Linked DNA regions of Oryctolagus cuniculus. The protein of the gene in region 2 binds, or shares a complex with, the protein of the main gene of each other region. Links are inferred from orthologs where the notes say so. Each region holds a gene or a part of one and is shown on either strand. Other genes may lie near its edges.

The links.
Region 1: the proteins of ORC4 (region 2) and ORC5 are in contact, whole or in part, in a cryo-EM structure (PDB 7JPO), measured with the Homo sapiens proteins. The link is inferred for Oryctolagus cuniculus from reciprocal best matches to the Homo sapiens genes ORC4 and ORC5. Residues at the interface, in NP_001177808.1 of Homo sapiens: Ser18, Gln21, Arg22, Arg25, Glu26, Cys29, Arg30, Gln31, Arg69, Thr74, Asn100, Leu102, Leu103, Gln104, Ile105, Ile109, Glu113, Arg116, Asp162, Arg277, Met281, Met284, Leu285, Asn288, Met311, Asp312, Ser313, Lys314, Asn316, Ile317; in NP_002544.1 of Homo sapiens: Ile17, Ser20, Leu21, Phe22, Gly23, Glu24, His26, His27, Phe28, Ser29, Phe30, Pro31, Tyr36, Gly37, His38, Thr39, Thr98, Phe99, Asn100, Val103, Arg104, Arg131, Glu134, Asn136, Pro139, Gly140, Arg143, Gln145, Glu146, Leu147.

The regions. Positions count from the first base shown.
Region 1 is NC_091434.1:140,227,304-140,243,233, reverse strand, and holds the start of ORC5 (origin recognition complex subunit 5), read right to left. Parts: upstream 8,790-15,930; 5' UTR 8,680-8,789; coding exon 8,608-8,679; intron 4,428-8,607; coding exon 4,335-4,427; intron 726-4,334; coding exon 525-725; intron 1-524. UniProt on the Homo sapiens protein: Component of the origin recognition complex (ORC) that binds origins of replication. DNA-binding is ATP-dependent. The specific DNA sequences that define origins of replication have not been identified yet.
Region 2 is NC_091434.1:94,204,068-94,219,857, forward strand, and holds the start of ORC4 (origin recognition complex subunit 4), read left to right. Parts: upstream 1-7,276; coding exon 7,277-7,479; intron 7,480-7,890; exon of another isoform or gene 7,891-7,994; intron 7,995-8,005; exon of another isoform or gene 8,006-8,221; coding exon 8,222-8,304; exon of another isoform or gene 8,305-8,329; intron 8,330-8,543; exon of another isoform or gene 8,544-8,630; intron 8,631-15,790. UniProt on the Homo sapiens protein: Component of the origin recognition complex (ORC) that binds origins of replication. DNA-binding is ATP-dependent. The specific DNA sequences that define origins of replication have not been identified yet.

The DNA.
Region 1 (15,930 bases), about 46 Mb from region 2:
ACACTTCTGTATTCCAAAAGCACTTTTCAAAGAGCACTGTACGTAATGGTAGTCAAAAGAAATATAGGGAATTGGCCGGCGCCGCGGCTCACTAGGCTAATCCTCCGCCTAGCGGCGCCGGCACACCGGGTTCTAGTCCCGGTCGGGGCGCCGGATTCTGTCCCGGTTGCCCCTCTTCCAGGCCAGCCCTCTGCTGTGGCCCGGGAGTGCAGTGGAGGATGGCCCAGGTGCTTGGGCCCTGCACCCCATGGGAGACCAGGAAAAGCACCTGGCTCCTGGCTCCTGCCATCGGATCAGCGCGGTGCGCCGGCCACATCGCGCTGGCTGCGGCGGCCATTGGAGGGTGAACCAACGGCAAAGGAAGACCTTTCTCTCTGTCTCTCTCTCTCTCACTGTCCACTCTGCCTGTCAAAAAAAAAAAATAAATAAATAATTAAAAAAAAAAAAAAAAAAGAAATATAGGGAATTGATCCGCTAAGTAATCAATTTTCAAATAAGAGATGATACATAATCAAGTTACTTACAATATATACAGTCTGATCCTTGAGACTTTCAGCTTTGGTAACTTGTTTAAATAAGCGAACAAAGTCATTGAATGTGTCACAGGTTATTTCAGTACAATATCCATCCTCGGAAGAACTAAGATGACTCAACCTGTTTAAAATTTGCTCCAAAAGAAGTCTCAGGGTAAAGCACTCAACACAATTCACAAAGACATGCGGGAGCTGAAAACAAAAACCAAAAAAATTATTAATAATAAAGCAAACATACAGATATAATAACAGCTGTGCTGTACAGTTTCCATTTGCCTATCTAAATCTACACCCCCACTGTTCTCCAATCTGTCCTTGTCCCAGGAGTTTGACTGCCACATACTGCATTAGCCTGGACTCTTTTATTTTCTGGCTGTGGCTGGAGAAACCAACGGGAGGCAGCAGCAGCAGACTGAAGGAGAGTGGTAGGAAAAAGAAGCTGAATACTTATTCCCCTGAGACCAACAACCATCCCCTACTGGGCCACAATGTGATGCTGGTTTCTTCCAAAACCAACAGCTCGAGCTGGGCAGCCTTCTCTCTAAGGCTACAATTCTTACTGGGTTCTGCCAACAGCTCCTTTCTATGACTGCTTCAGCCCTGGAGTTGGTAAAGGCCCTGATGCATCAACATCCCTTACTGGTTCCTCTAAAACTTCCTCAACCTTTGTAGAATACTCCCTTTACTAAACTCACTTCAATTATTTCTTTAGGTCTGTCACTTGTTTCCAACAGAGATTCAAAGAAAACTCTAAACAATTCTTATTAATAAATATATCCAAGTAATTGAATATTAAAATTCTAAGGGGGAAATACAAACTTATTATTTTAAGTTCAAATCCTTAATGATGAAGTAGTCTAGGTCAAAAAGGAAATTTAAAGAGTTAAAATCTAATGATTCTCCTATGAGGATTATAGCTCATATCATAGACTGAGTTCCTGGCTCTGGCCTCTCTGCTGCTGTTGGCATGTGGAGAGTCAACCAGTGGATGGATGATTTCTCTGTCTCTGTTATCTGTGTCTTTTTGGCTTTTCAAGTAAAATGAAAATAAATAAATTTAAAATAATTTTAATGAGTTAACTCCAGAAATAGTAAGGAAACAAACAAATACAGTCTGTTATCAAAATGAAATCACAAAATAGCCCTGATCAAAGGAGATATCTTGTGATATCTGGCACAAATAACGAAACCTATACAGCAGTAACTATTTGTAGTGATATTTCACAAATCTTACTCAATTACAAGGATTTTCTTTCTCTCTCAGAGCTACAGCATAACTAAGGCCATATCATATTTACCTGGGCAGTTTTACCAGTGTTTGCAAACCCTCTATACCCCCATTCCTTTAAGCTCAGGAGTCTACAACATCTCCTAAATATCTGGCTTATTCCATTTTTACTATCTGTAACCTTCAATGACAGCATATTCTAAGTGCCTGTTTGTACACCTATACCAGAAGTCATAAAAATTAACACCTCACTGATTAAATAGCACCAAAAATTACAATGGGTGAAAACATGGACTATAGCCCTTAAATACTGCTAAGGTCTGGATATTAGTCTGGACACTGAATGTCTCCTAAGGGACCATGTGTTGCAGCTTGGATCCAGGGTAGTAATATTGGGGGTGAAGGTAGAACCTTCAGGGGGCAGGGCCTCCTGGGAGGGTCTAGGTCACTCAGGGCATACCTTCAGGTAGTTCTTGTGAAAGACTGGTATAAAAGCCTGAATTAGAGTCCAGCCTCTCTCACTGTTTCCCCCCCTCAAGCTCCATCATCACCACGGAGCCTTCACCAAAGCCTGCATTATGCCGAATGGACTTTTAGCCTCAAAACTGTTAGCTAAAAAACAAAACAAAACAAAACAAAACAAACCTTTCTTCCTTCTTAAGTGTTCTCTCTTAAGTGGCTTGATTCATGTGTTTCGTTGTGACAATGAAAAGTTAACTAATACAAATACAAAACCTCCTTATTGGATTTTCAGGCTTTTATTCAGTATGGCTTTTTTTTTTTTTTTCCCCTCTCAACTGTCCACAACTGGAGCTGAGCTAGGCTGAATCTCAGAGCTTGGAACTCAATCCAGGTTTCCCATTTGGGTAGCAGGGACCCAAGTGCTTGAATGATCACTTGCTATCTGCCAAGATGTACAGTGGCAGGAAACTGGAATCAGAAGCAGAGCCCAGACTAGAACCAAGGAACTCACAGGCATCTTAACCACTGTGTCAAATGCCCACCCTCAATATGTATTTGTTTGGCTGCCTAATACAAAGGAGTTCTCAAATGTAAGGGCTTGGGTCAGGACCTTGTCCTCTCAGATTCTAAAGTTTGCTGTAGAGAGCAGGCACCCAAGTTTTCAAAATGCACAGCTGGTCTTCATGATCAAAGGCTGAAATCCACAAGCTGGTATGTGTTACACACTATTATCTGGTCTGGGGATAATCAAGAAACCCAGTCTGAAGCCAGGGAAACATAACACAAAGTTACAGCTGGGAGGGCTAAACATTGTAACAGAGTACTAAGGTTGCAAAACAGATGGGCATTTAACAGATGAGGCAGGAAGGGCTTCCTAGAATATTAGTAGAAGAAAATGTGACAAAATAAGTATTTGCCAAGCAATATGGCAGTAGTGGAAGAGTGAGTAAAGGATCACCCAAAACAGAGGGAGCACCACGTGCTAAGCCTTGAAAGTGAGAGAGCCAGGACTGTATTTCAGGGAGCTGCACTAACCATGCAGCCTCAGGGCTCCAGTAAGACTGGGACAGCACACTGAACCCTGCGGGCTGGCCACCCCTATTTGTATACACACTGCTCTGAAACACAGCCACATCCATTCAGGTGATACCACTACTTTTATACAATGGCAGTGTGAAGAAATCCAGACAAAAACCATGCTGCCCCCAAGTCCTCAATATTTACTAACTTGCCCTTAGCAAAAACTCTGCCCATTCCTGGCTTAGAATATGTTAGCCACTAACCTTTATCTCATTACTAACATTCAGTTCTCCTAACAATCCTACATGTCGTCACTACGATCCCTATTTTGCAGATGGGGAAAGCACTAAGTGGCGAATCCAAGAGAGGAACACAACTCTGCCAGACTCGACATTCCAAACCCTCAATCATGACATGATGGGAGATCAACTGAATTCAGCTCATGAAAGGTCTTACGTATCAGGCAAATCACTTGAACATTGTCCTAAAGAGCTTAAGATTTGCATGAGCTAGCTGTTGGGTGAAGACAGGATTGGAACGAGGAGATATGCAAAAATACATGGAAGAAACAATGGTAATGAAACTGAATTGGGAGCAACAGTTATGGTTACTAGTAGATGGAGTCAGTATTTTGAGGGTGTAGATTAACAAAACATGTTTCTTGGTTTGGTTTACTGGATTAGTAAGGATGAAGAAAGAGTTAAAGATTTTTTGGACAGCTCTGTCATTGGTGACATCAATCACAGACAGGTAATACAGGAAGATAAATAAGGTAAAGTAATATGTTTAGCTTTGTATTTGTACAAATTATCAGTATTAATATTATAAACAGTGAAAAAGAAACAAATTGTAATATTTTAAAAACAATTTCTCATCTGTTTTCCTCCAAATATTATCAATCAGCAAATGAAAGAGAAAGGGAAATTTGACCCAATTTAAAAAATAAATTTTAACATCAAGATTCGAATGATCTAATAATAACACTTTTCAAAGTTTACAGTCAGTGAAGGGATTCAAACAAAAGTTAAGAACCGTTTCTAGGGGTCTGTGATTAAAAAATCAATTAGCACTGAGTTTGGGATTATTCTTACCTCTAAAGTTTTCAACAAAGTTTGTGTTACATAGGTCTTCCCACTGGCAGTATGTCCATAAATAAAAATGGATGGAAAGCTGAAATGATGTCTCTGGGGGGAAAAAAGATAAATATCATGAAGTTGATAAACTATTCCTCAACTTGTGATAAAGTTCTATATGGCAAGGTGAAATACTCAATCCAAGTAACGTTAACAGTGAGTGGGGTCAGCACAGTGGTGTGGTGGGCTAAGCCTCCACCTGTGGTGCCAGAGTCTCATATGAGTGCCCGTTCGAGTCCCGGCAGCTCCTCTTCCAGTCCAGCTCCCTGCTATGGCCTGGGAAAGCAGTAGAGAATGGCCCAAGTGCTTGGGCCCCTGCAGCTGCACCAGGGACCTGGGGGAAGCTCCTGGCTCCTAACTTCAGATGTCTCAGCTCCAGACGGTACGGCCATTTGGGGAGTGAACCAGCAGAGGAAAGATCTTTCTGTCTCTCCCTCTGTAACTCGACTTCTCAAATAAAGAAAATCTTTAAAAAAGAAAAAAAAACATTAATAATGAGCATGCAGTGGACTGTTAGATTTTGAACTTATGTGAATTCAACTCTTACAAGTATTTTCTGTTACGGAATTAAAATGTCTATAAAGTTGTATCTGGCATATATTGTACGTATTTACAGTTTTTATTACTGCATACAGTTACATATACAAACTCCTGCATTTTTAATATATAGGACACTGTATTTTCAACTTACTGTAAAGAGTTTTCCAAGGATAATTTTGCCCATACTCCATTTTTATACTAATCCTCTTTAAAGGATTTAATCCCCTTGCAGACTGCAACTTCACCGTTCATTTTACTGCTTTGAAACTAAGCATATAGAATCAAGGGGGCTAGAAGTAATTCTAACAGTCCTTATTTTTAAGAAAATTTGTAGAATACTTTGAATTATATATACTCATTGACTCTGGCAAAAAATGCATACATCTCATCAAATGAAATATTAATGAAATCCATATACATAGATTTAAAAAGAAATAGTCACAAGATCCTCCTGCAGCACAGTAAGTCAGCACCCTCAAGAAGAGTAAAATTGGTTCGAACACCCTTTGTTGGTCTTGTCAATACTACTGCTTAATGAGTCCAAAGAAAACTCATCAGATACCTACTAACTGCTCTAAAGCACAATCACTAAAAAGAATACAAGTATCAGTAAAAGATGGTTTACTACTTGGGAGTTTATAGTCTGAGTGGGGCAACATACATTAAAAAAAACAAGAAAACTGGCTGATGTCATTCCCATAAGAAAGCCAAGTCTGTACACCATCTTCTATCTCAGCATCAGCATCATACAAATGCATTACATTCTAGTCTCTCACTTAAACACTTCCTTTTACAAGGCAAATCAGGAGCTCAGATGAATACAGGAGAAAGCTTTTGGAATGGCACACCTGTGGCAAAAGCAGCTCCACTGCTAAAAATGAACTAACAATTTACCAAGTGGATATTTTAGTATGTGAATCCTTTTTTTAAACTTTGTATGTAACAATCTTAGAATTAACTGGCTCAAACATTTTTCATTACATGCGTGATACTGGGGATCTCTGCTATCCAAAACACTGCACACATTACACCTTTAAAGAGAAGCGAAATAGCAGGCTTCTGGAGTTTTTATTTATTTATTTATTTTTTTGCCAAGTTACACTGAACCCTTCCTTTTCTGGAATGCTGCTATTATTTGGTGCCTAAAGCAATCACCATCCTATAACATCTTTTCAATTGTTACCTAGGATGATATTACACTCTTGGACTGTTATTTAACTTTTGTAAACTTCCCTAACACAAATTCTAATAAGCTAGTATCTAGCACAGTGCCTGAAACAGAAAAGATGTTCAGTAACTATTTCCTCTTGAATGAATAAATGAATCTTCTTGGAAACATGAAGCCATTTTTTATAGTTCTTTGCTATAGTTCTTTGTATTTCCCATATGCACACCTTGCAGAAAAGTGACATGAATATTAAACATGATTTGCAGTAAGAGTGAAAGACTCCATTCTGTAGCCCACACTAAGGCAGCACTGCTCATCTCTGTTTGCCAATATTCTTTTCTAAAAGAGGCACTTCTAGTAGGAATGACCTGGGTTTATCAGTTCCAGTGAAGAAATCCACAGAACATGTTTCCGTGATAATCTGGATAACTGTAATTTCAACACTATAACCTGAAAATTCACTGAAAATATAGTAGCTGACTTCTTACTTCCCTAGCATGTCCCTTTTTTTAATAGAAAACTTTTATTTCATAAATGTAAAATTCAAAAGAACTTTTGGATTATAGCAGTTCTTCCCCCATAACCACCCTCCCACCTGCAAACCATCCCATCTCCTGCTCTCTCTCCCATCCCATTCTTCATTATGATTCATTTTTAATTATCTTTATATACAGGTGACCAGCTCTGTACTAAGTAAAGATTTCAACATTTTATACCCACACAGACAAACTATAAAGTACTGTTGGAAGACTAGTTTTACCATTAATTCTCATAGTACAACACATTAAGGACAGAGATCCCACATGGGGAGTAGGTGCACAGTGACTCCTGTTGTTGATTTAACAATTGACACTCTTATTTATGGCGTCAGTAATCACCCGAGGCTCTTGTCATGAGCTGCCAAGGCTATGGAAGCCTCTTGAGTTTGCCAACTCTGTCAATATTTAGACAGGACCATAATCAAAGTGGAAGTTCTCTCCTCCCTTCAGAGAAAGGTACCTCCTTCTTTGATGGCCCTTTCTTTCCACTGGGATCTCACTCACAGAGATCTTTCATTTAGGTCATTTTTTTTTTTTTTGCCACAGTGCCTTTGCTTTCCATGCCTGAGAAACTCTCATAGGTTTTTTAGCCAGATCTGAATGCCTTAAGAACTGATTCTGAGGCCAGAGTGCTGTTTAGGGCATTTGTCATTCTATGAGTCTGCTGTGTATCCCGCCTAGCATGTCCCTTTAAATGGAGAGTGGTACTTCCACTAATACTGCCCAGGCTACTTCTTTTCTAGTTGGATGAAAATACTGAAAAAAGCAAACCAGATAGGGGGCCAGCATCCCATAGGGGTGGCCGTCAGGCTGCTCCACTTTCAATCCAGCTCCCTACTAACAAGCCTGGGAAAGCATCAGAAGATGGCCTGAGTGCTTGAGTCTCTGCCATCTACATGGGAGACCCAGATGAAGCTCCTGGTCATTTGGGAAGTGAACCAGCAGATGGAACACCTCTCTCTCTTTCTGTAACTCTACCTTTCAAACACATATAAATAAATCTTGAGAAAAAAAAATGGCAAACCAGATGATCAGGAAATGAGGCTAATTCTAAACTGTCACTTACTTTTTTTTTTTAAGATTTATTCATTTATTTGAAAGTGTTACACAAAGATGGGGAGCGAAGAGGGAGAGAAATATTTTCCATCCGCTGGTTCACTCCCTAGATGGCCGCAAAGGCCAGAGAGAAACCAGGAGCTTCTTCCGGGTCTCCCACGCAGGTGCAGGGGCTCCACGGCTTGGGCTATCTTCTGCTGCATTTCCAGGCCATAGCAGAGAGCCGGGTCGGAAGAGAAGCTGCCGGGACTCGAACCGGAGCCCACATGGGATGCCAACCTCGCAGGGGGAGCCTTTACCGGGCCCCGGCTCATTCTTTTTATAAAGATCGAAACCTAATCAATGAGTCTGGAGCAAAAGGCACCCCAAAGGCCCCGAGAAGATCACATAATTTCAGTTTTGAACTGATGCGCGCTCCTTCTTACGCGCAGAAGGGACTCCTTCGCCGAGCTCCTCCACGCAGAGGACGACGGCTTCCCTGGAGGTGCCGATCTGAACCCGCAGACGCGTCCAGGAGAGCAGGCTGCCGGAGCGTGGGCACGCCGCCGACCCGCTACACCTGCCGCAGCCACCACACCTCCCGCGAGGCGCGAGCCCGTTACAGCCGAACCCCACACCAGCCGCTAGGGCTGAGAGCACACCGGCAACTTCCGGCGGCGGCTCTGCGCTCCCGACATCTGCACGGCGCCGGGTGTGCGAGAGGAGAGCCGGCCCTCGCCGCGCCCCGGCGCCCACTAGAAGTTACTCCGGGTGGGGGTCCGCGGTAGCCCCTGGCAGCCACACAGCCCCCAACCTCAGCGGAAACCATGGGCAGGTGCCCCTCAACCCGGACACGAAATTATTACCTAAATAAACAAGCAGTCTCAAAGCCACGGACATGTCCCCCCCTGCAGCATTTGGAAGAAAGAAGACAGTCTGACCACCGTACCTCTCCAAACAGGGACTGCAATGTGGCCACCTGGGACTCGCGACAAAGCACCATGTTTTCCAAGTGAGGCATCCTGGCGGGAAGCTCGGAGGAGACCGCAGCGAAGCTCCCGGGCAGCACTGCGTCACCACGGGAACACCTCCGCTCCGCCGGAAACGGGACGCGCCGGCGTGACGTCAGCGCGACCGCGGAGCGTCGCTGGCGCCCTGGTCTCCCGCGGTCGGAGCCGGCGGCGGCCTTGTCCGCCTGATGTTGGCAGGGGCATTTCGGGTCGCTGGCTCTTCCAGCCGAGCTGGGGAGAGGATGCCCCGGGGATGAGTGGAAGAAAAGGGGGCGGGAGGGCACGGGGGGCGCTGTGGCTTGCAGTGTGCCGCGAGGGGCTTCGCTTTCCCGCCTGAAGGTGCCAAGTGTAGAGACCTTGAACGCCGGGAAAGTGGACCCCCCCCCCCCCCAACTCCGCTCAGGCACCGGGGAAGGGGACTGTGCTGGCCCGTAGTCTCAACGTCAGAGTTTACCCCTAACGCGGGTGTGGGAAACGTGTGGCGTCCAGTGTAAAATGAGGTTCAGTACTTGCAAACCTGAAACCAGGTCTGGACCTGCCTCGAACTCCTAACCTGAGGAAATGCTGGTGTGTGTTGGCGAAGGTGGAAGGACTCAGCACAATGCTGCCATTAGCATAAGGCTTTCGCTATGCTGGAAACAGATACAGAAGTAGACACATGCTCAGAGAAAAGAAGACTTGGAGCCCTGAAACTCCTGGGTTGGAACTGCTGACTCAACTATTTCCAAATAGGGAGACCTTGGAAGAGTGATGGCGCCTTTCAATTTGAACTTCACGTTGCTAATGTGAAAGTAGGGATAATAGGCTGGCGCCGTGGCTCAATAGGCTAATCCTCCACCTGCGGCGCCGGCACACCAGGTTCTAGTCCCGGTTAGGGCGCCTGATTCTGTCCAGGTTGCCCCTCTTCCAGGCCAGCTCTCTGCTGTGGCCCGAGAGTGCAGTGGAGGATGGCACAAGTTCATGGACCCTGCACCCACATGGGAGACCAGGAGAAGCACCTGGCTCCTGGCTTTGGATCAGCGCGGTGCGCCGGCCACATCGGCCATTGGAGGGTGAACCAATGGCAAAGGAAGACCTTTTTCTCTGTCTCTTCCTCTCACTGTCCACTCTGCCTGTCGACCAAAAAAAAAAAAAAAAAAAAAAAAAAGTAGGGATAATAGCAACTGGGTTTTGCTAAAAGTATGTGATGACGTGTACAGTGCCTGCTACACATAGATTTACATTGTGGATATCAGTCTGGCTACAGACTGGACCAGACTCATAACCGTAATGGTTAGAAGGACCTTTTGAGGATCGTGGTCTCCTATAACTTCTTGGCTATTCAAATGAAGTTGCCTAAGGGAGAATTCTGAAAGCCACAGTGGGATGGCCCATCAAATCTTTGTGTCTTAAAAAAAAAAAAAAAAAAAGATTTATTTATTTATTATTTGAAAAGGAAGAGGCAAGAGAAAAAGAGGTCTTCCATCCGCTGGTTTACTCGGAAGCTCATCCGATCCAAAGCCAGGAGCTAAGAGCTTCTTCCAGGTCTCCCACGTGGGTGCAGGGACCCAAGGACTTGGGCCATCTTCCACTGCATTCCCAGGCCATAGCAGAGAGCTGGATTGTAAGTGGAGCAGCCAGGACTGGAACCAGCACCCATATGGGATGCCAGCACTGCAGTCAGTGGCTCCATCTGCCACACCACAGCACTGGCCCCTCAGTGTCTTTTCATAAGGAAAGTAGGTCCTTGCCATTCCTAAAAATGGTTACACATTCTCAACACCATATAGCATTCAACAAACTTATAGCTAAATAATTGTCTAAACAAAGTGTTAGTCTCCCTCTCCAGATGCTCTGAGGAGTGAAAACATTCCACAGCTCCAATTCCAGCATATAACAGTGCCCAGCATATGCTTAATAAGCAGTTAATGAATAGCTGTTGATGTAAGAGGAAATGCTATACTGCTTGGACAGGCTGAGGATAGTTCCCCAGGGGAAGGAACCTGGATGCTGAGGCTTAGGAATGAGGGTTCAAGAAAAAAAAAAAAAAAAAAAAAGGGAAGTGTTAAAGAGTGCTATGCTGAGAGTGTTGGACTTTAGGCAGGCTGTAGGGAATCAGGGAGGGATTTTAGGCAGAGAAGTAAATGATGAGACTCAACTTTTAGGAAGATCTCTTTGGCTACAGAATGAAGAATGATATCAATTTGACTTGTTAAAAACTCCTGCAATCAGGAGGATTGGGGTGGCTTCCTGTGTTACTTATTTATCTTGCAGTTTTGAGAATCCTCTCTTTTGGCCTTGGGGAGCTTGGTTATAATATCTTGGGGTAGAATTGGTTGAGTTGAGTCTGGTGATTTTTGATATTCTTGTATTTGGATACTTCTGACTTTCTCTAGGTTTGGGAAATTTTGTCATTATTTCGTTGTTTTTTTTTTTTTTTAAGAATTATTTATTTGAAAGTCAGAGTTACATAGAGAGAGAAGGAGAGGCAGAGAGAGAGAGAGAGAGAGAGATAGAGGTCTTCCATCTGCTGGTTCACTCCCCAAATGGCCACAACAGCCAGAACTAGGCTGATCCGATCTGAAGCCAGGAGCCAAGAGCATGCAGAGGCCCAAGGACTTGGGCCATCTTCTACTGCTTTCCCAGGCCATAGCAGGGAGCTGGATCGGAAGTGGAGCAGCCAGGACTTGAACTGGCGCCCATATAGGATACTGGCACTGCAGGCGGCGGCTTTACCAACTATGCCACAGCGCCAGCCCCTGTCATTATCTCTTTGAATATGCTTTTTCTTCTGGCTTCGATCTGGCCCACCTCTGGCCATTGTGGCCATTTGGGGAGTGAAACAGCAGATGGAAAATTCTCTCTCCGCTCTTTCTGTAACTCTGCCTTTCAAATAAATACAATAAATCTTAAAAAATTTTTTGAACAAAAATAGAAACAACATACCAAAACCTACAGAATATGGCAAAAGCAGGACTAAGAGGGGAGTTTATGTCAATCAATGCCTGATTTAAAAAAAAAAAAGCCAGAAAGATCTCAAATAAACAATCAGTGCATCTCAAGCAACTCAAAAAACAAGAACAAAACAAATACAAAATTGTTAAAAGGAAAATAATGGAACTCGGCACAAATAAGTGACAGAGATTAAAATATGAATACAAAATTCAATGGAACAAAGAGCTGGCTCTGGGGCTGACACTGTGGTTCAGCAGGTTAAGCTGTTGCCTATGATGCTGGCATCACTTACAAGCACCAGTTCCTGTCCTGGCTGCTATACTTCCAATCTACCTCCCTCAGAAGGTAGTGAAAGATGGTCCCAAGTGTTTGAGCCTCTGCCACCCATGTGGGACACCCCAATGCAGTTCTCTGGCCCAGCCCTGGGTACTTCATCCATTTGGGGAGTGGACTAGCAGGTGGAAGATCTCTCCCTCTTTCTCTGTCTCTCCTCCTCTCTCTCTGTAACTCTGCCTTTCAAATAAATAAAGAAATCTTAAAAAAATAAGGAGCTCATTCTTTGAAAAGATAAACAAAATTGATAAATCCTTAAATAGACTAACCAAGAACAAAAGAAAAAAGATTCAAATACACAGAAGTAGAGATAAAAACAGACATTTTAACTGAAAAAAAAAAAAAAACAGAAATACAAAGTATTGGATTAAGGTGCCACCTGTGACACCAGCATCTCATGTTGGAGCATCAGTTTGAAATTCAGTTGCTCTGCTTCCAATCCAGTTCCCCACTAATGTGCCTGGGAAAGCATTAGAAAATGGCCCTAGTGCTTGAGTCCCTGCCATCCAAGTGGGAGACCCAGATGGATTTCCTGGTTCTAAGCTGCAGCCTGGCCTACCCCCAGTTGTTTCAGTCATTTTGAGAGTAAGCCAGTGGATAGAAGAGTCTCTCTCTCTCTCTCTCTCTCTCTCTCTCTCTTTCTGTGTGTGTGTGTCTTCCTTTCTGTCACTCTTTCAAATTGATGAATAATTCTTTAAAAAAAGGAAAATAACTATTAGAGATTACTATGAACAACTATATGGCAATGAATTCAATAACCTAGAAGACACAGGCAAGCTCTTGGACACATGAACCTTACCAAGATTGCACAATAATGAAATAGAACCCCTAAAAAGATCAAGTATGTGTACTGCGATTAAATCAGGAATAAAAGCCTCCTGTCAAAGAAAAGCCCAGTGCCAGTTAGCTTCACTGCTGAATTATGCCAAACATTACATAACATTCTATTTTATTTATTATTTTTAAGATAGCATATTTTTAATTTACATTATAGTCAAAGGCTTAATGCTACACTAAAATAAAGAGTTCAACAAATAAAAAGTAAAAACAACATAGTTCAGCAGGAATATTGGCAATGGCTATATTCAAGAAACAAATGATGTTTATCTTTACTCATATATAGTAAATTTTAAAATATTCAAAAATTATTAAGACTACAGTCATAGTTATGAATTCTGCCACAATTTTAAAGAAGATGAAAACCAATCCTTCCCAAATTATTCAAAAAATAGAAGAGGAGGCCAGTGCCACAGCTCACTTGGCTAATCGTCCACCTGCGGCGCTGGCACCCCAGGTTCTAGTCCCAGTTGGGGTGCAGGATTCTGTCCTGGTTGCTCCTCTTCCAGTCCAGCTCTCTGCTGTGGCCCGGGAGTGCAGTGGAGGATGGCCCAAGTGCTTGGGCCCTGCACCTGGGAGACCAGGGGGAAGCACCTGGCTCCTGGCTTCGGATCGGCCCAGCGCACTGGCTGTAGCGGCCTTTGAGGGGTGAACCAACAGAAAAGGAAGACCTTTCTCTCTGTCTCTCTCTCTCTCACTGTCTAACTCTGCCTGTCCAAAAAAAAAAAAAAAAAAAGAAGAAGAAGAAGAAGAAAAGAAGAGGAGTGAGTTCTCCAAAATTCGTTCTATGAGACCAGTATTGCTTTGACAAGGCAATCAGACAAGGACACGACAGAAATGGAAAGTTACAGGCCAATTTCTGTGATGACTATGGATGCCAAAAAATCCTTAATAAAATACCAGCAAATTTAATCCAACAGCACACTAAAAAGACCTTTCACCACGATTATGTAAGATTTATCCAAGGTATGCAAGGATGGCTCGACATATGCAAATCACTAAATGTGAGACAGAAATGGGCAAATAATTATATCTGTAGACACAGAAAAATCATTTGATAAAATTCAACATCATTTCATGATAAAACTGATCAAATTAGGCATAAAAGGAATGTAACTCAACAGAAGTAATATGTGTATGTGTGTATATTTATATATATATATAAAATCTCAAGCCAACAACTAACATCATACTGAATGGGGAAATGGTAAATAAGATCTGGAACAAGACAAGGATACATACTTTTACCACTTTTGTTGACCACAGTATAGAAAATCCTAACTGGAGCAATTAGACAAGAGCAAGAAATAAAAGGATCCCAATTAGGAAGAGGTCATAGTGTCACGGTTTTCAGGTTACATGAGTGTACATGTATAAAATCCCAAAGATTCCTTCAAAAAGCTGTTAAAACTTAAAAAAAAGCAAATTCAGGGGTCGGCATGGTGGAACAATTGTTTAGGTCACTGGCTGGGACTCTGGCATCACATACAGGCACCTGTTTAAGTCCCAGCTGCCCCACTTCCAATCCAGCTCCCTGTTAATGTGCCTGAAAAGGCAGCAGAGGACAGCATAAGTGCTTGGGCCTCTATACTCATGTGGGAGATCCAGATGGAGTTCCTGGCTCCCAGCTTTGGCCTGGCCCAGCCCTGACCATTGAGGACTTTTGATGAGTAAATCAATGGATGGGAGATCTCTATCTTGCTGTCTCTCCCTCTCTATCTGTAACTCTTTCTTTCAAAAAAATAAATCTTTTTTTTTTTTTTGACAGGCAGAGTGGACAGTGAGAGAGAGAGACAGAGAGAAAGGTCTTCCTTTGCCGTTGGTTCACCCTCCAATGGCCGCCGTGGCCGGCGCGCTGCGGCCGGCGCACCGCGCTGATCCGATGGCAGGAGCCAGGAGCCAGGTGCTTTTCCTGGTCTCCCATGGGGTGCAGGGCCCAAGCACCTGGACCATCTTCCACTGCACTCCCTGGCCACAGCAGAGAGCTGGCCTGGAAGAGGGGCAACCGGGACAGAATCCGGCGCCCCAACCGGGACTAGAACCCGGTGTGCCGGCGCCGCTAGGCGGAGGATTAGCCTAGTGAGCCGCGGCGCCGGCCAAAAAAATAAATCTTTAAAAACAAAACCAAGAAATTCAACAATGTTGCAGCACATGAAGTCAACAAACATTTATTATTATTATTATTGTTGTTATACACTAATAGTGAAACATATGAAAAAGAAATCAAGAAAGCAAGTCCATTTCCAGTAGCTGAAAATAAATATATAATAAGATACCTGGAACCAAATTTAGCCAAGGAAGTGAAAGATCTCCACAGTGTAAATTGTAAATCATAGATGAAAGAAGTTGAAAAGGAAACAAAGAAATGGGAAGACATTCCATGTTCATGAATTGAAATAATCAGTATTATTAAAATATGCATACTGGGGCCGGTGCTGTGGCATAATGGGACAAGCTGCTGCCTGCAGTGCCAGCATCCCATATGGGTGTCGGTTCAAGTCCCATCTGCTCCACTTCCGATCCAGCTCCCTGCTATGGCCTGGGAAAGCAGTAGAAGATGGCCCAAGTCCTTGGGCCCCTGTGCCTCTGTGGATAGACCCAGAGGAAACTCCTGGCTCCTGACTTCAGATTGGCACAGCTCTGGTCATTTCGGCCAATTAGGGAGTGAACCAGCAGATGGAAGACCTCTCTCTCTGCCTCTCCTCTCTCTGTGAAACTCTGACTTTCAAATAAACAAATAAATCTTCTAAAAAAATAAAAAATAAATATGCATACTATCCCAAGCAATTTACAGATTAAATGCAATCCCTATCAAAATTCCCATGACATTTTCCACAGAACTAGAAAAAAAAATTCTAAAATGGAACAACAAAAAAAGACTCTGAGTAGCCAAAGCAATCTTGAGAAAAGATAACAAAGCAGGAGGTATTACATACCAGACTTTAAAATATAGTACAAAGCTACAGTAATCAAAACAGCATGGTGTTAGCATAAAAACATATCCATAAACCACGGGGACAGAATATACATGTTAAAAATAAACACATATATCTACAGCCAAGTGGTCTTTGAAAAAGTTGTTAAGAACATACATTGGGAAAAGGTTAGTCTTTTTAAATAAGTGGTGCTGGCAAAAATTGGATATCCACATTCAGAAG
Region 2 (15,790 bases):
ATTGACTTAACTTTAAATTATCTACAGAAATTATTTGGGTCCAGAGATAAACTCTATCCTGCTCACTATTCAGATTGTTTTTGTTAGCAAGAAATCATTTGTAAAAAATTTTTGTCTTTGAAATATAATAGTATAATTTATAAAAGTACAATTTCTTTAGCATTTAAAAGTATTTCCAAAATCTGTGGGCCTCCAAGTTTATATGATGATAATCAGTACAAGCATATATAAATGAATGTGTATGTACTTGAGAACATTAAACTTACTTGATAAATAAAATACAAAAACAAATTTTTTTATTTCTCTTTTCTCCTAAAAAACAATGATGTAGACATCAATTCTGATTAGCTGGTTGAAAAACAGATTTTAATTTAGTAGCAATTTTAAGGAACAACTAACTATGGGGCAACTTAGTAATCTAGAGAATTCAACAAGTTGTCCACTCTTTTTTTTTTAAAGACTTATTTATTTATTTAAAAGTCAGAATTAGAGAGAGACAGAGACAGAGACAGAGATCTTCCTTCTGCTGGTTCACTCCCCAGATAGCTGTGAAGGCCATAGCTGGGCCAGGAAGAAGCCAGGAGCCAGAAGCTTCACCTAGTTCTCCCACGAGGGTGCAGGGACTGAAGCAGTTGGGCCATTCTCCACTGCTTTCCCAGGTTCATTACCAGGGAGCTGGATCAGAAGTGGAGCATCCAGGACTCAAACCAGTGCCCATGTGAGATGCTGACACTGCAGATGGCAGCTTAACCTGCTATGCCACAGCACTGGTCCCAAGTTGTTCGTTCTTATGCTAAAAACTATTTCTGGGGGCAAGCATTTAGCCTAGTGGTCAACATGTTAGTTAAGATATCTGTGTTCTGGGACTTGTGCTGTGGCTTAGCAGGTAAAGCCACTGCTTGTGATGCTGGCAATCCCATATGGGCAAGAGTTCACGTCTGAGCTGTTCCACTTCTGTTCCAGCTCCCTGCTACAGGCCTGGGAAAAGCAGCAGAAGAGAGCCCAAGTCTTTGGGTCCCTGAACCCCCGTGGGAGATCCGGGTGAAGCTCCTGGTTCAGTCCTGGCCTTTGTGGAATGAATCAATGAATGGAAGATCTCTCTCTGTCTCTTCCTAGCTCTCCATAACTCTTTCAAATAAATAAATAAGTGAATAAGTATATTTTTAAAAGATCCCTGTCTTTTATATCTGAATCACTGGGTATGATACCTTGGGTCTAGACTGCAGCTTCCTCTAGTGATAGTCCTAATTACTGAGTTTTTGCCTTCCACAAAGGAGACTCGGATTGAGTTCTCAGCCTGGTCTAGTCCCAGCCTGGTCCAGTCCTGGCCATTGTGATCAGAGATAGGAATTTTCTTTTTCTCTGCCTCTCAAATATTTTTTTAATTTTGATTTTCTGTAGTGCTAAAAATATATTAAACTTAATTCTATGTATGTAATATAATATGAGAAGGTTTTATGACAAGAGTCTAGAAGATAATGTGTACAAACACATCAAAGCACTAAACAGAATTCCCTTTTGTTTAGTGATTTTTCACTATCAACACATTTACATAAAAATTTTATAATAAATACTCATTGGGCCATATATTGTTGGATCCTCTAAACTTCATGTAACAGAACACTAAACCCAAATCTTTGCAATTTAAAGGAAATTCAGTATCTAGAAGGCCCAAACGTTATTTTTGTCATATAAAGTGAAGACTGACTTCATGCATACTTTAAGTTGCTGACTTGTCTACACCTACATTTCTTATAAAGACTGGGGATTACTGTTTGTTTTTCTGACTGTAAACCTTCAGAAATTTTCTTAACACGGTATCAATAAGCTATCAGGCCATAGTTTTACTAATGTTTCTCAAGCATAGGTTGACAAATACTCTTTACTATGACTGTGTCTTCAATTAGGAAGTGTCAAAGTTAATGTGTTAAAGTACTTTGCTGCTATATAATGACAAAATGCTGTTGCTTAGTAATCAGTTTCTGAATTTGTAACATGGGGAACATAATGAAAGTTCACAGGAGCACCCTAAGGACTGATTGGAATTGATGGGTAGTATTAAATGAAACTATGACTATAGTTATGACTATTTATAAAATAGAAATTTAGGAATGAATGTGAAAGAGATCAGAATTTACCACTCACAAATCTATTTGTGTTCCTAGTATACCACACTCACACAGCCACCCCTTCCTTTTTAAAAACTGTGAATCAACAGTATCCTAAAAGTTAAGACTTTAAGGAGGACAAATTTAATCCAGTACTTTTTCTCTCAACAAACATTTCTATTACATATGAAAGCCATGGCAAAGACTGAGATAAGATTTTTGAAACATTCATCTACTAAGAAACTTCCAAGTAATTTTCCTAAAGCTGAAGAAACCATACCAAAAATATTTAAAATCACTACAGATTTAGAACTAGTACTGGGAAGTTCTGTGTGAGAATCTTGGAGTAATTTATCCAAAATATAATAAAAACCCCAAAGCTCCTAAGTATTGCGCATTACCGCACAATAATTAAATCATGATGTTAGATTTGCATGATATATAGTAGAAAATATTTTAAAAGTCAAAATCAAAACATATAACGTCTTTCAATTCAACCATATAAGATTACCTGCTATATGAGGTAGGAAATTTACTTTTGAGAAGAAAGTTTAAGTTTGGAGAATTTGCATTTAGTGTTTTCGAAAAAGTAATGAATTAATTTAATAAAGAGTATAAATCATATTCAAATAATGGAATTATATATGGCTAGCAATAAAAATTCAGCAATGATAGCCACATGGACTTTATGGCTGTCCAAAATGAATAAACTCTATATAGAAGACAACCTTAAAATATAGCATTAAGTGGAAAATTTTGAAAAATATTTTTCTAACAAAATGCAGAAATATCCTACTTAACATATATCTTCCCACCTAACAGTATCCATTTAGTTAATATAAAATTCATTTAGCTAAAACACCAGAATAAAGATATGACAAATACACTTACAGACAATTAAGATATTCTTTCACATTAACCTATAACAACCACCCTTGTTTTCAAATACCTAGCACAATGCCTGATAGACATCATAGACTTTTAATGAATAGCTAAATACAATCTGTTTTGCACATACATTCAAAATCCAGACAAGTTTACAAAGGTACATAAGTTGGACAAAGGCTTTCTGGCTGACTTCATGGGGTCCCACTGATGACTAGGAGTAAATCTTCATATCCATAGAAAACTGGAAAGTTGATAACTGTCTGGGTAAGGATCAAAAAAACAAAGTCAGGGAAATGTGTTACCTAAATAACTGTTGCTTTATAGAGATGGTAATATTAGTCTAATCATTCCAATAACCCATTGCACTAGTAACTCAATGAAATGAAATTTCAGTGTACCCTAAACAATTACAAGTATATTTTTAAATGGATTTTCTAAATCATTGCTTATAGAAAATAACTCACTTTTTTATAAATTATATACTGTACAAGGATTACAAAGGAACATGTTTTTACTTCTTACTATGAGTGTTATGTTGTTAACAGTATTTAACTTGGTTGTTAATTAGAAAAAGAGAAAGCTACAGCAGAGATTAAAAAAAAATAAAAGGAAATTCTCATGAAAAGAATTTCATAATAGTGAAAATTATAGCAAGAAGGAAAAGAAAGGAATGCCACAAACAGAAATAAAGAAATTCAAACACATTAAACTCCAAAACTAGTATGTTTTATGACAAACAACCAGTAAGGCCTACTGTGTACTAGGCTTTGTCCTTAACTAGTTCATGTGGCAAGATTCACAAGTAAATATTTAAAATGCAACTTGAATTCTATTTCTTAATATATGTATATATACATACACACACACACAGACACACACACACACACACACACATATATATATATATCCTTAACACAAGACTAGTAAGTAAATTGAAGCACAGGGAGAAACATAAGCATTAGAGAAAGTTAAAATAATTTTTAAAATAGAACCATTAATAGTGAGTGAAATTATTACTTTTTAAAAAATCAGTGAAAATTACTGAATTATAGGCAGGCTTATGGCTTCAAAGCTATTTACCTTAATATTCTTCCACATAAAGCCCTAAAATGCTTGGGCCGGTGCCGTGGCTCAATAGGCTAATCCTCCACCTTGCGGCGCCGGCACACCGGGTTCTAGTCCCGGTCGGGGCGCCAGATTCTGTCCCGGTTGCCCCTTTTCCAGGCCAGCTCTCTGCTGCGGCCAGGGAGTGCAGTGGAGGATGGCCCAAGTCCTTGGTCCCTGCACCCCATGGGAAACCAGGAGAAGCACATGGCTCCTGCCATCGGATAAGCGCGGTGCGCCGGCTGTGGCGGCCACTGGAGGGTGAACCAAAGGCAAAGGAAGACCTTTCTCTCTGTCTCTCTCTCTCACTGTCCACTCTGCCTGTCAAAAAAAAAAAAAAAAGCCCTAAAATGCTATACACAGAAATCATACATGCTAGTTTTAAGCCTGACAAAGTAAATTGAGGTAGTGCAGCATAGTGTCAAGAGACCTGAATCCTCCAGACCTCCTCTGCCTACTTGCAGGCCTTGCAACCTTGGGGAAGTTCTTCAAGCTCCCTGAACTTCAGCAGTATGCAACATGAAGAGGTGGATAGGGGTAGGCATTTGGCCCAGCAGCTAAGATTTCACTTCGGACACCTGCATCCAGTACTGATGTGCATGGATTCCAGTCCTGGCTCCACTTCAGATTCTAGCTTCCTGCTAATGCACACTCTGGGAAGCAGCCAATGATGTCTCAAGAAGTAGGGTCCTGGCCACCCACATGGGAGCCTAGATTGAAGTCCAGGCTCCTGGCATTGTTTTGGCCCAGTCCTGCCATTATAGGAATCTGGGAAGTAAATCAGTGCATGCAAGATGTCCCCCCTCCGCCTCTCTGCCTTTCAAATATAAATAAATAAATAAATATTTAAAAAGAGCTGGGTCCATCTGACTTCTAAGATATCACCTAGTTGAAAAATCACCACACCAAAAATCCAGGTTTTAGTGCTTAAAAAATTAGCTGTAATAAAAAATATAATAAAAAGTTTCCAGCATAAATCATTATTCAATTTGGATAAAGTCTAGAATCTTCCAACAATCATAAAGGGTCATCTGGGGGAGCGGAGAAGGATAAGAAATGTTTTCAAAGAAAAACAGAAACAAAATAAGTAAAGGTATTTGAGTAAATTTTTATTCAGCTGCCTGCTGGGCAACTACCACTTCAATTATCTATACAATTCACTTACTTAAAATGTATTCTTCACTAAGTTCTACTTTCTATCTCTTATGTTAGGGTTAGAGGATAAGAAATCCTAGGTGGCCTGGAATAGTAGTATTGATGTTGGGAGAAAAATTTGAGCTGGCACAAATTTCCATTTAAGCATACCAATTATATCTCACAGTAAGGGAAGAAACTGTTCAAATTTCTAACAGAAAGAGGGAAATAAAGCCATAGTATTTATTGCTACACAGCTTTTTTCCTCCTGTGTGTAAATGTCTACTTTTGCACACAGTTTGTAATTAAAATTTTCCAGAACACGTTTCCACATATGCAATGCTTTTCTGTTATTAAAATGAGTATGTTATATCTTTCCTTTACCATGAGGAAAGTAAAAAAATTAAAAGTATTATCATGCCCTTATAATATTTGTCAAATATCTTTCTAGATTTATATTTCTTCAATCCTTTCTAGCTGATCAAATTGCTGTTTTCATATTGCCAGTCTGATCGCAAAATTGCTGCTTTACAGAGGAATATTTTTTGCTGACATAAATTATGGGATCAGAGATACCAATGCAGTTACAAAAAAAAAAAAAAAAGAGGGAGGGAGAGAAAGAGAGAGAAAAAAACGAGAGGTGGGGGAGAGGGAGAGAGAGAATGAATGTGTGCATCCATCTTCAAGGAAAAGATCAAGAAATATATGTATGAAACAAAATGCTAGTTTCCAATGTAAGCTCTGGTAAAAAGCCTACACCAGATAAAAATACTTTCCAGCATTTCTGAAATAAAATACAGCACTGAATGAAATTTGTTCACTAAGAACATACCATGTAAAAATGAACAGTGATTTTTATCAAAATTGCTAATTTAAAAACCTAAATGTGGATTTACCTTTCAGTTTATCTGAACTTCATGATTTCTTTGACTTATACAAACATTTTAAAAATCTGTCTCCTTTTACATATAGTGAGCAATTTGGTTCAGTACCCTGAGAGAAGAAAAACTCATCTCAATTTACAACACTAAAATAAATAATTCAGTTAAAACTAAAAGTGGTACCAATCCAGCAAACTATTGATGGAGAGGTCTGGCCTTCCATGAAGCCAGGCAACATGAAGTTTTCAATGAGGATTACTTGTTCAGACAAGTTACAAAGATTATAAAAATACTCAGATTAATTACAAAATAGTTCACATTCTCATCTTATGGAAAATAAATATCAGGAACATATGTGGGAAGAGACAATACCAGTGGCATTTAAACTTCAAGCATTCTGAGCTCCTAACTTTATACACTGATACATCAAACACACATTAACCAAAAAAGCCATAATACAAGTCAAAATCCAACCTAAGGCCTCTATGAACTAAAAATCTGAAATTTTCTATGCAAGTCAGACAAGATCAAAAAATGGAAAATTCAAACCCTAAAGCCAAAACCAATCAAGTCTTCCAATCCTGAAGTCAATATCCAAATCACATACAGGACCAAAAAGGGGGGAAACACTCAGGTCTACAAATGGATAAGCAGTTCCAATACAATTCAGATCCCGACATTTTCCCACTCAGAAACAAATGCAGTGGAGCTTTTCCTAGGAAAAGAGAAAAAAGCTCTCCCAATGAATTTTGTAAGTGACATCTAGAAAGTGTGCCTCTTTCTGTCTCTTTCCCTGGCGCCTCATTGGAGGAAGGAGGGGGTTGTTTTTGTATTCTCCCCCAGTGGAGCAAGACACAATCAGATGTTAGCTGGAGGAGAGAAACCACTTTTGACAACAGCAAATAAAAATAAAAGTGCCCTTCCTCCCCTGACAGGATGGACACCCCACCTCACACGCCCCTCCCCACTCCAACCCCTCCTTCACTCACCACCCCCCCAGCACCACCCCCTCCTCACCCCGGAGCGCCACTGCGTCTGTGGTTTGGTGCTACTGTTGCCCCGGAGTGAAAGTCAGAGCCAGAGGAAGGCAGTGAAGCCCCCACAGACACACTTACCTTTCCTGCCCCCCACTTTTGAGTGCCTTCCCTGGAGCTGTGGAGGATGACACAAAGGGTAATAAAGGGGGGGAGTGGAGGAGGAGGAGGCGAAGGAGGAGGAGGAGAGCTGGGGAAGTGGCTGCTCCTGGGTGTAGTGAGATGTCTCCAGCCAGGGCCAAGCAGCAGCAGCAGCAGCAGCAACAGCAGCAGCAACAGCAGCAACAGCAGCAGCAGCAGCAGCAGCAGCAGCAGTAGCAGCAGAGAAGGGTCTGTGTTGCTAAGAGGCTTTTGGTCTCTTTCTCTCCTCCTCTCACGGCCAAAGAGGAGGAGGGTGGAGGGGGCTCGAGAGGGAGGCGAGTGGAGGGGTGAGGGGGTAGGAGTCGTGGATGGGGATTTTCGAAGAAGAAGAAACTCCTTCTCCTTCTCTCTCTGGCTCAATCCCCCTCTCAGGGCTCGGGGCTGGAGGGTGGGGGAAGGAACTCAGTCGCCTTCCCCCAACCCCCCTCAATTCAAGGTTGAAGTGGGGTAAAATTAGTGTCCTGTCCCTTTAAAAATAGAAATAAAAGGTGCCCCCCCTCTGCCACTGCCTCTCTCTTCATCATCAGCTGCTGCTGCTGCTGGGGTCTCTCTGCTTGGGGGGGAGGGGGGGTTCGGGTAGAAGAGACTGGAGGCACTCACTGCGCATGTCACTCTCTGACGGGAGGCTGGTTGGTTGAAGGCAGGAGGAGGGGGAGGGGAGGAAATGAGATGTTTTCCCAGAAGGCTCCGAGGCGCTCACGACCCGGAAGACATTGTAGCAGGGGGTAGAGGGGCGGGGGCGGGAAGGAGGAGGAAGTCGCTTCTCTTTAACACCCCTAGCTCCCTCCTCCCTCCTAAGAGAAAGTGGAGGAACGGAAGTGGGCGTGGACGGAGGCCCAAGGAGGTCACGTGCTTGCTCTGGGGGCGTGCGGGCTAGGAGAGGCTGTGCGTGCGCGGGGCATGTCGGGAGTAATTGTTTTACCGTTGGCAGCTGCAGGTGGAGCCCAGTAGAGAACGCAGCGAGGCGGTCTTGGGAAGCGGTTCTTACAGTCGCGGGATCCCCGCTTTGTCCTGGTAAAGACACGCTTTCTTGCGCGAGGTAATATGGGGGTAGGCTGTCCTGACAAGGACGGTCAGGGGAGCGGGTGGCCAAAGGCAAACCGAAAAGGGGCGGATAGAAGGTTGGGGAGACCGAGAATGTGGGAAGTGGGAAGGCTTTTCTAGGCCGGGCAGGCCAGGACCAGTCGGGATCGTTCTCTCTCGTGACCTCACCATAAGCCTGTCTTTAAATCTCTGACTAGTAGCGGGAGTCCTGAGGACGCTTGGGCCTGCAGCGAGGTGCTGGGTGAGATGCACGCTGTCCGGGTTCGAGAGAAATGGGATCTCTGCCGCCTCGGCAGGTGACTGATGACTTTCACAGAGCAGGGAACCTAACCAGGGAGAGAGACAACCCCGGTGTGTGCATTTTGACTTGACCAGAGCATTGCATTTAAGTGGCTGTGCCCGCTTCTTTGCTGAGCTCGAAGCCTTCCCTGGGCGGCTTGCAGGTAGGAGCGGGTAGCGGACCCTGGAGTAGAATTTCTCTCCTTGTCTTCTGTTGTTGCCGCAACGAAAAGCCAGTGCTTGCTCTCAGAGGGATATGCAGTTGTGTAGTTGCTGATACTGAGTTTTATGGTTGATAGAGAAGGGTCATAGTCAAATTTTCTCTCCCAATACCGTGGATGATAGATTTTTTTAAAAGGTTGTTTATCTTACCTTTCTGTGGATACGTGCTTTATTTTAAGCTTTTGGTTTATCAGTTAAACGCTACCTGTTTTTGTTGGAAATAATGTTTATACCTTATAAGGGTTCAGCATTTTTTAAGAAAGGATTTGTAAAACTTTCATAGTGAAACTGCAATTTCTTTTTCACTTTCGTTTTATATTATCTTACTTTTAAAAAATCCCAATCTGCGTTTTCTTCTTTATAAAGATACTTTGAGGAATCATCACTTATGTATTTTTTTAAAACTACGAATTGAAAATTCCTCCCGTTTATTGTGTTGGTATTATTGATTGTGTGGTGTGACCTTTTTAGGGTACACTATGGAAGTCACAGATTACATACTGTAAAAGTTTGGGCCGTGGATCCTATTTTTGCATTATTGCTGAGTGCTTACTGCTCTCTATTTGTACAGTCATGTCAGATAGATTCAAAACTAGATTCCTTTGTACTGAAACTGAATATTTACCACAGTAGAAAAAGTACAAGGCAATTAATTTGCCTTAGAATTTTTAAATCTTTTTATGAAAAAATACTAAATATGCAGAAAAGTGTCACAAACATATGCATAGTATAATGTGTAACTAAAGTGAACTCTGTAATCACTACTAAAGTCAAGAACTAGAATATAAGTGGCACCAGAGGAGCACCTGTCATCCATTCATTCCTGACATCCCCCTTTGCACCTCAGAGGGTGACATTATCTTGATTTCTGTGGTAATAATTTTCCATGTTTCCTCCTAGTATTTTTTTAACCACATATGTCAGCATTCCAAACAATATACACTAGTTTTGCTTTTCTTTTTACTTTGTGAAAATTGACTTATATATCATTTTGTATGCTTTTTTCTCTGAGATTTAACTGTTAATGTTTATTGAACTTAACCTTGTTCAGATATTTTCATTGCTGTATGGTAATGTTTATAGTGTAACAGTACAATCTTTTTAGGAATAAGTGGAGTTAACTAGTCTAATTATTGGTGGACATTTGTATTGTGTTTCATTCTTAGCAGTTATGCACAGTGCCACAATGAATGTCCTTATACTTGTAGTATTCTTATCCTCATAACATGCATTTACATATATTTATCTTCAACATCACTTTGTTTAGTCAAACTTCTCTATCACTGGATATAGCAGTTTATATCCTCACAATAGTATATGATAGATCCCTTTATTTCTGCCATCCAACTAACAGTTGGATGTAGATTCTGAGGAATGTAGCTTTATGTTGTTTTAGTTTATACTGTTCTGGTTACTAATGATATTGAGCACTTTCTCAAAAACATTTTAGTTATTTAGGTGTCCCTTTTTTTGGAATTATCTCATTGTCTTTTTAGGTCTTTCCCAGTTTTATATGGGGTTTTCTGTTTTACTTAAAGATTTGTAGCAATATGGCAAATATCTTTTCTGTGCTTGGAGTATTACTCTCTTCCTAGATCATAGCTTTGTCTCCTTTTAGTCCATTATTGGTTTATATTCTGCTGATGTTGTTATTTGAATTTTATGTGTAGCCATGACTTCAGAAAGCAAGTTCTGCAGTTACCATACCCATTATAGTGCCAGTGGCTGCATGTGGATTTTGAGCATTTGAAATTTGGCTAGTGTGACAGTTTAGGTTGTGATGTTTGTAAATGTAAAATAAATACCAGATTTCAAAGACTTAATATGACAACATTTAAAATATCTGTCCTTTTCATTTTGATTGCAAGTTGAGATTATAATTAATTTAACCTTGTTTTTTGAAATATAGTTGTTACAAAATGTCAAATTATTTTATGTATTTCTGTTGGCCAGCCCTATTTTCTGCCATCAGTGTTAGTTCTTAATATATTTACCCCCCTCTTTGTTCTTAATTCCTTCATTTATTTTGGGATCTTTCTGTTTTAATGTGAGTATACTCTTTAGAAATATCTAATTTTAAATATCCATCAGGGGCTAGCACTGTAGCTTAGTGGGTGAGGTTGCCACCTGTGGTGCTGGCATACCTTGTGGGCAGCAGTTGGAGTCCAGGCTGCTCCACTTCCATTCCAGCTCTCTGCTATGGCCTGGGAAAGCCCCTGACCCATATGGGAGACCTGGAAGAGGCTCTTGCCTCTCTGTAACTCTGCCTTTCAAATAAATAAGTAAATCTTAAAATATATATATGTATGTGTATATATATCCATTAGACATTCCATTCTGTTAGCCAATTCTCTTAAGTTTTTGCTTATCTTACAATGTCCTTGTTTTGCCTTAAATCTTTAGGAGTATATTGGGGATATTAAATTATACATTTGTGGTTATTTATTTTTTACTACCTTGAAGATAACACTCTCCCTATTTTGGTTTTTATTCTTTATTTTGAGAAGTCAGCTGTCAGGTTCTTGCTACTTTGAAGGGAATCTGTCTTTTAGCATATTTTGTTTGTCAAAGTTTTTTTTTTTTTTTTTTAAGATTTATTTATTTGAAAGTCAGGGTTACAGAAAAGGAGAGGCAGAGGCAGAGAGAGAAAGGTCTTCCATCCACTGGTTCACTCCCCAAATGGCCGCAACTGCCAGAGCTGGGCTGATCCGGTGCCAGGAGCCAAGAACTTCTGGGACTCTCACGTGGCTGCAGGAGCTCAGGATCTTGGGCCATCTTCCCCTGCTTTCCCAGGCTATGGTAGAGAGCTGGATCAGAAGTGGAGCAGCCGGGACTCGAACTGGCACCCATATGGGATGCTGGCACCACAGGCAGCGGCTTTACCTGCTATGCCACAGCGCCAGACCCCATAATTTTTCTTCTATTCCTCTAAGATGTTTTTGTGTTGGTATTCTTTTTCCTGCTTTGAGTTCACTGGGATTCTTAACTCATTCATCAGTATTTTTTAAAAATATTGGCCATGTCCATCTGTACTGTTTCTAGTTACCTGCTGAAAATGCCAGCTTTTATTGGCTTAGTGTTTGTAGTTCATTTATTGTCTATGCCAGATAACTGTAGTTTCTAAATTTTTGATAAATCTGTTTGTGCCGGCTCATTTTTGTGTCTATGTGTGTGTGTGTGCGTATGTGTGTGCATGCACACATATTGGTCTTCCAAGTATTGTATTAGAAAAGAATATATAGGGGCCAGCGCCTGCAGTGCCAGCATCCCATATGGATAGCGGTTTGAGTCCCGTCTGCTCCACTTCTTATCCAGCTCTCTGCTATGGCCCAAGTCCTTGGGCTCCTGCACCAGCATGGGAGACCGTGAAGAAGCTCCTGGCTCCTGGCTTCATATCAGGTCAGCTTGGGCTGTTGCGGTCAGTTGGAGAGTGACCCAGCAGGTGAAAATCCTCTCTCTCTCTGTATGAGTGTGTGTGTGTGTGTACCTCTTTCAAAGAAATAAATACGTCTTTTTCAAAAAAGATTATATAAGTCTATATGAGTCATAGTATAATAGTATCTTTTTTAAAAAATGCTTTATTTTTTTATTGGAAAGAGTTACACGGAGAGAGGAAGAAAAACAGAGAAAGATCTTCCATCCTTTGGTTCATTCCCCAATTGGCTATAATGGCTGGAGCTGCGCCAATCCAAAGCCAGGAGCCAGAGCTTCTTCCAGGTTTCCCACATGGGTGCAGGGGCCCAAGTCCTTGGGCCAACTTCTGCTATTTTCCCAGGCCATAGCAGAGAGCTGGATCAGAAGTAGAGCAGTTGGGACTTAACTGGCGCCCATATGGGATGCCGGCACTGCAGGCGGCAACTTTACCTGTTAAGCCACAGCACAGGCCCCAATAGTATCTTTCCTAAGAAGGTGCACTTTTCTCAGAAAGATACTTAGGGATGCTACCAATCTCAGGTCACTTGCTGGATTTTTAATATTTGGGATTCCTTCTGTTAACACACATAACAGTAAACAGATTTGAATTCATATTTCTACTTTACTTCCAATCTTCGTTTTGATGATGTTGCCCTTGAAGTCTCAACTTAAATTAGGCTGTGTTTTATCACAGTCTCCAACTGTGTTGTGAGGCCCTGTGTTTTGACTTTTTAAAATATCCTAGCAGAGTTTGTAGCAGCTCAGCCTTATTTCTCAGCCTTTTCTTTTGGGTAGACAAATGCTCTCGGAGCAGAAGTGAGAATGTAGTTTATTTCTGGTTTACTTTCTCCTAGATTTTGGCATGTAATTTCACACTGCCTTATTTCTTTCATCCTCACTTTGAAGGTTTTTGTTGTTGTTGTTGTCATCCTTAGCAGGAGTCTTGGTCCAGTTTGACAGTGCAATAAATGGCATACTCAACTCTCTTTCCTTTTTTTTTTCCTTAGATTTGGTTTTCAGATCTTTATGCTTCTAATCAAAATTTTATGATTAAACTTAACTCATATTTGTTTTATTTTTCTAAAATCATGTTAGCCTATTTAGTATAAGAAGTGAAGTTAATGAAAAGCTTACAGTTTCAAGGGTGGAAGAATCTAATATATTATTTAAGTTTCAAATACATCTGCATGTCTTAATAATAAAAATAGCTCTTTGTCACAGATTGAGTTCTTGAAAGTATTTCCTGTTGCATTTGCTCCATGGTGGACAAAATGACTGAGCCTTTATTCCCTTACTTTGCTTATTCCCATGAAGGGTGTGATGTTAGACAAAGTGGATTCCATGTCCTTCATTTCTCCCCACCACCACTATCACACACCACAAAGCAAACACATTTAGAAATTTTTGGCTGATTCCTTTGATATTAAAGTTTCAAATCTCTAAAAAGCATCTTAGATAGCTGCCTCTTTTTGTTTCAATTTCAGGCATTGTCAAATTACTACTGTGGACAGTGCACATTTAGATTATTTCCACTTACACTCCTTCCTCTTCTCACTGATGTGATAGTTTTTTGTAGATAACTTTTCTGTGTCTGTATAGTTTTAACATGCCATTAGTTGGGTCCTAGCTTGTCTGCTGGTTTTCAGCTTATCCTCTCCATGTATTCGGAAGTTCAAGTAATTTCTATTTAACCACCATTATGAAATTTCTCCTGGAACCTTTTGATCTGCTCCAGTTTAAGCCCTTTGCCTGATATGGTTGCCACTTGTACATCCTCCTATTGTGCATCCTGTTTCCTATATTTTGTGTAATCCTTTGTCTTCATTTTGATTCTTCAGTCTTCAATGGATTTCTGAGAAGCTTATGTTTTGACATGTTATATTTGTTTAAGTGTCTATTTCAAAGCAGCTGTAAGTTAGGCTGGATGTAGAATTATAAGTTGGAAGATTTTTGGGGGGATTATGAAAGAATTCTTAGCATCTGGTCAATCTGAAACCACTTTTATTTCAAATACTTTACATACTTTTATCTCCCCCTGGAAGCTTTTACATTCTGTTTATCTGAAGTTTATGGAATCTGCTTTTCTGTATTAAAGTTTTGAAATGTCACAGTAATATGATTTAATTCTATTTACCAAGCGTTTTATGAGTCCTTCAGTCTAGCAACTTACCTGTCAGCTCTGAGAAAGTTTCTGGTTTTTTTTTTTTTCTTTAATTTTCTCACTTCTGTGTATTTGATTTTGGAACTCTATTTACATGCTGTATTTCCTGGTCCTATTTCTTATCTGCCGTTTTCTTTATACTTTGTGGAATTTTACTTTACTTTTTCAGACCTTTGAGACTTTCACATTTGCTATTGTGTTTTTAATTTCTGAAAGCCATGTTTTTGGTGTGTTTTATTTTTGACGACATTCTGGTTTTTAATATCAATAGGAATTTAATTAAAGTTTTTAGAATTTTGTTTTGAAGTTTATTTCTCCATGCCTTCTCTATTTCCTCAAAGTTACTCTTTCTGTTAGTATGTTTTGGGTTTTTTATTTGTTTGTTTTTAAACTTTGAAGGCTTCTTCAGCTGAGTTTTGATCCCTGATTGTGTTCAAACTGATGTTAGGGGTGTTAGGAAGCTGTTTCAGGAGGCCAGTGCTGTGGTGCAGTGGGTTAAAGCCCTGGCCTGAAGTGCTGGCATCCCATATGGGCGCTGGTTCTAGTCCCGGCCACTCCTCTTCTCATCCAGCTCTCTACTATGGCCTGGGAAAGCAGTAGAAGATGGCCCAAGTCCTTGGGCCCTTTTACCAGTGTGGGAGACACAGAAGAAGCTCCTGGCTCCTGGCTTCGGATCGGTGCAGCTCCGGCCGTTGCGGCCATCTGGGGAGTGAACCATTGGATGGAAGACCTCTCTCTCTCTGTCTCTACCTCTCTCTATAACTCTTTCAGATAAATGAAATAAATCTTAAAGAAAAAATAAGAAATACCTAATTTTTTTTTTTAAAAAAAGAAAGCTGTTTCAGGACTTTGTGAACTAGCTGTAGATGCTTCTCATCATGGAACTATTTAACTGCAGCATTTTTTTTAAAAAAAAAAGATTTATTTATTTGAACATCAGAATTACACAGAGAGAGAAGGGAGAGGCAGAGAGAGGTCTTTCACCTGCTGGTTCATTCCCCCAATTGACCACAATGGCCAGAGCTGGGCTGGTCCAAAGTCAGGAGCCAGGAGCTTCTTCTGAGTCTCCCACGCCAGTGCAGGGGCCCAAGGACTTGGACCATATTCTGCTGGTTTCCCAGGCCATAGCAGAGTGCTGGAACGGAAGTGGAGCAGCCAGGTCTCGAACCTGTGCCCATATGAGATACCGATGCTGTGGCCTAGCAGGTAAAGCCACTGGCCACATTAACTGCAACATTTTTTAAGGGAGAAATCCTGATGTCAATATCTTTAGGTGTTTGAAAAACTTCCTCTAGGGCTGTTAAGATTGGTCTAAGAATTTTCTAATCTCCTGTCAGTGATTCTCCACTGGAACAGTTTGGCTCCCCAGGGGAAATTTGC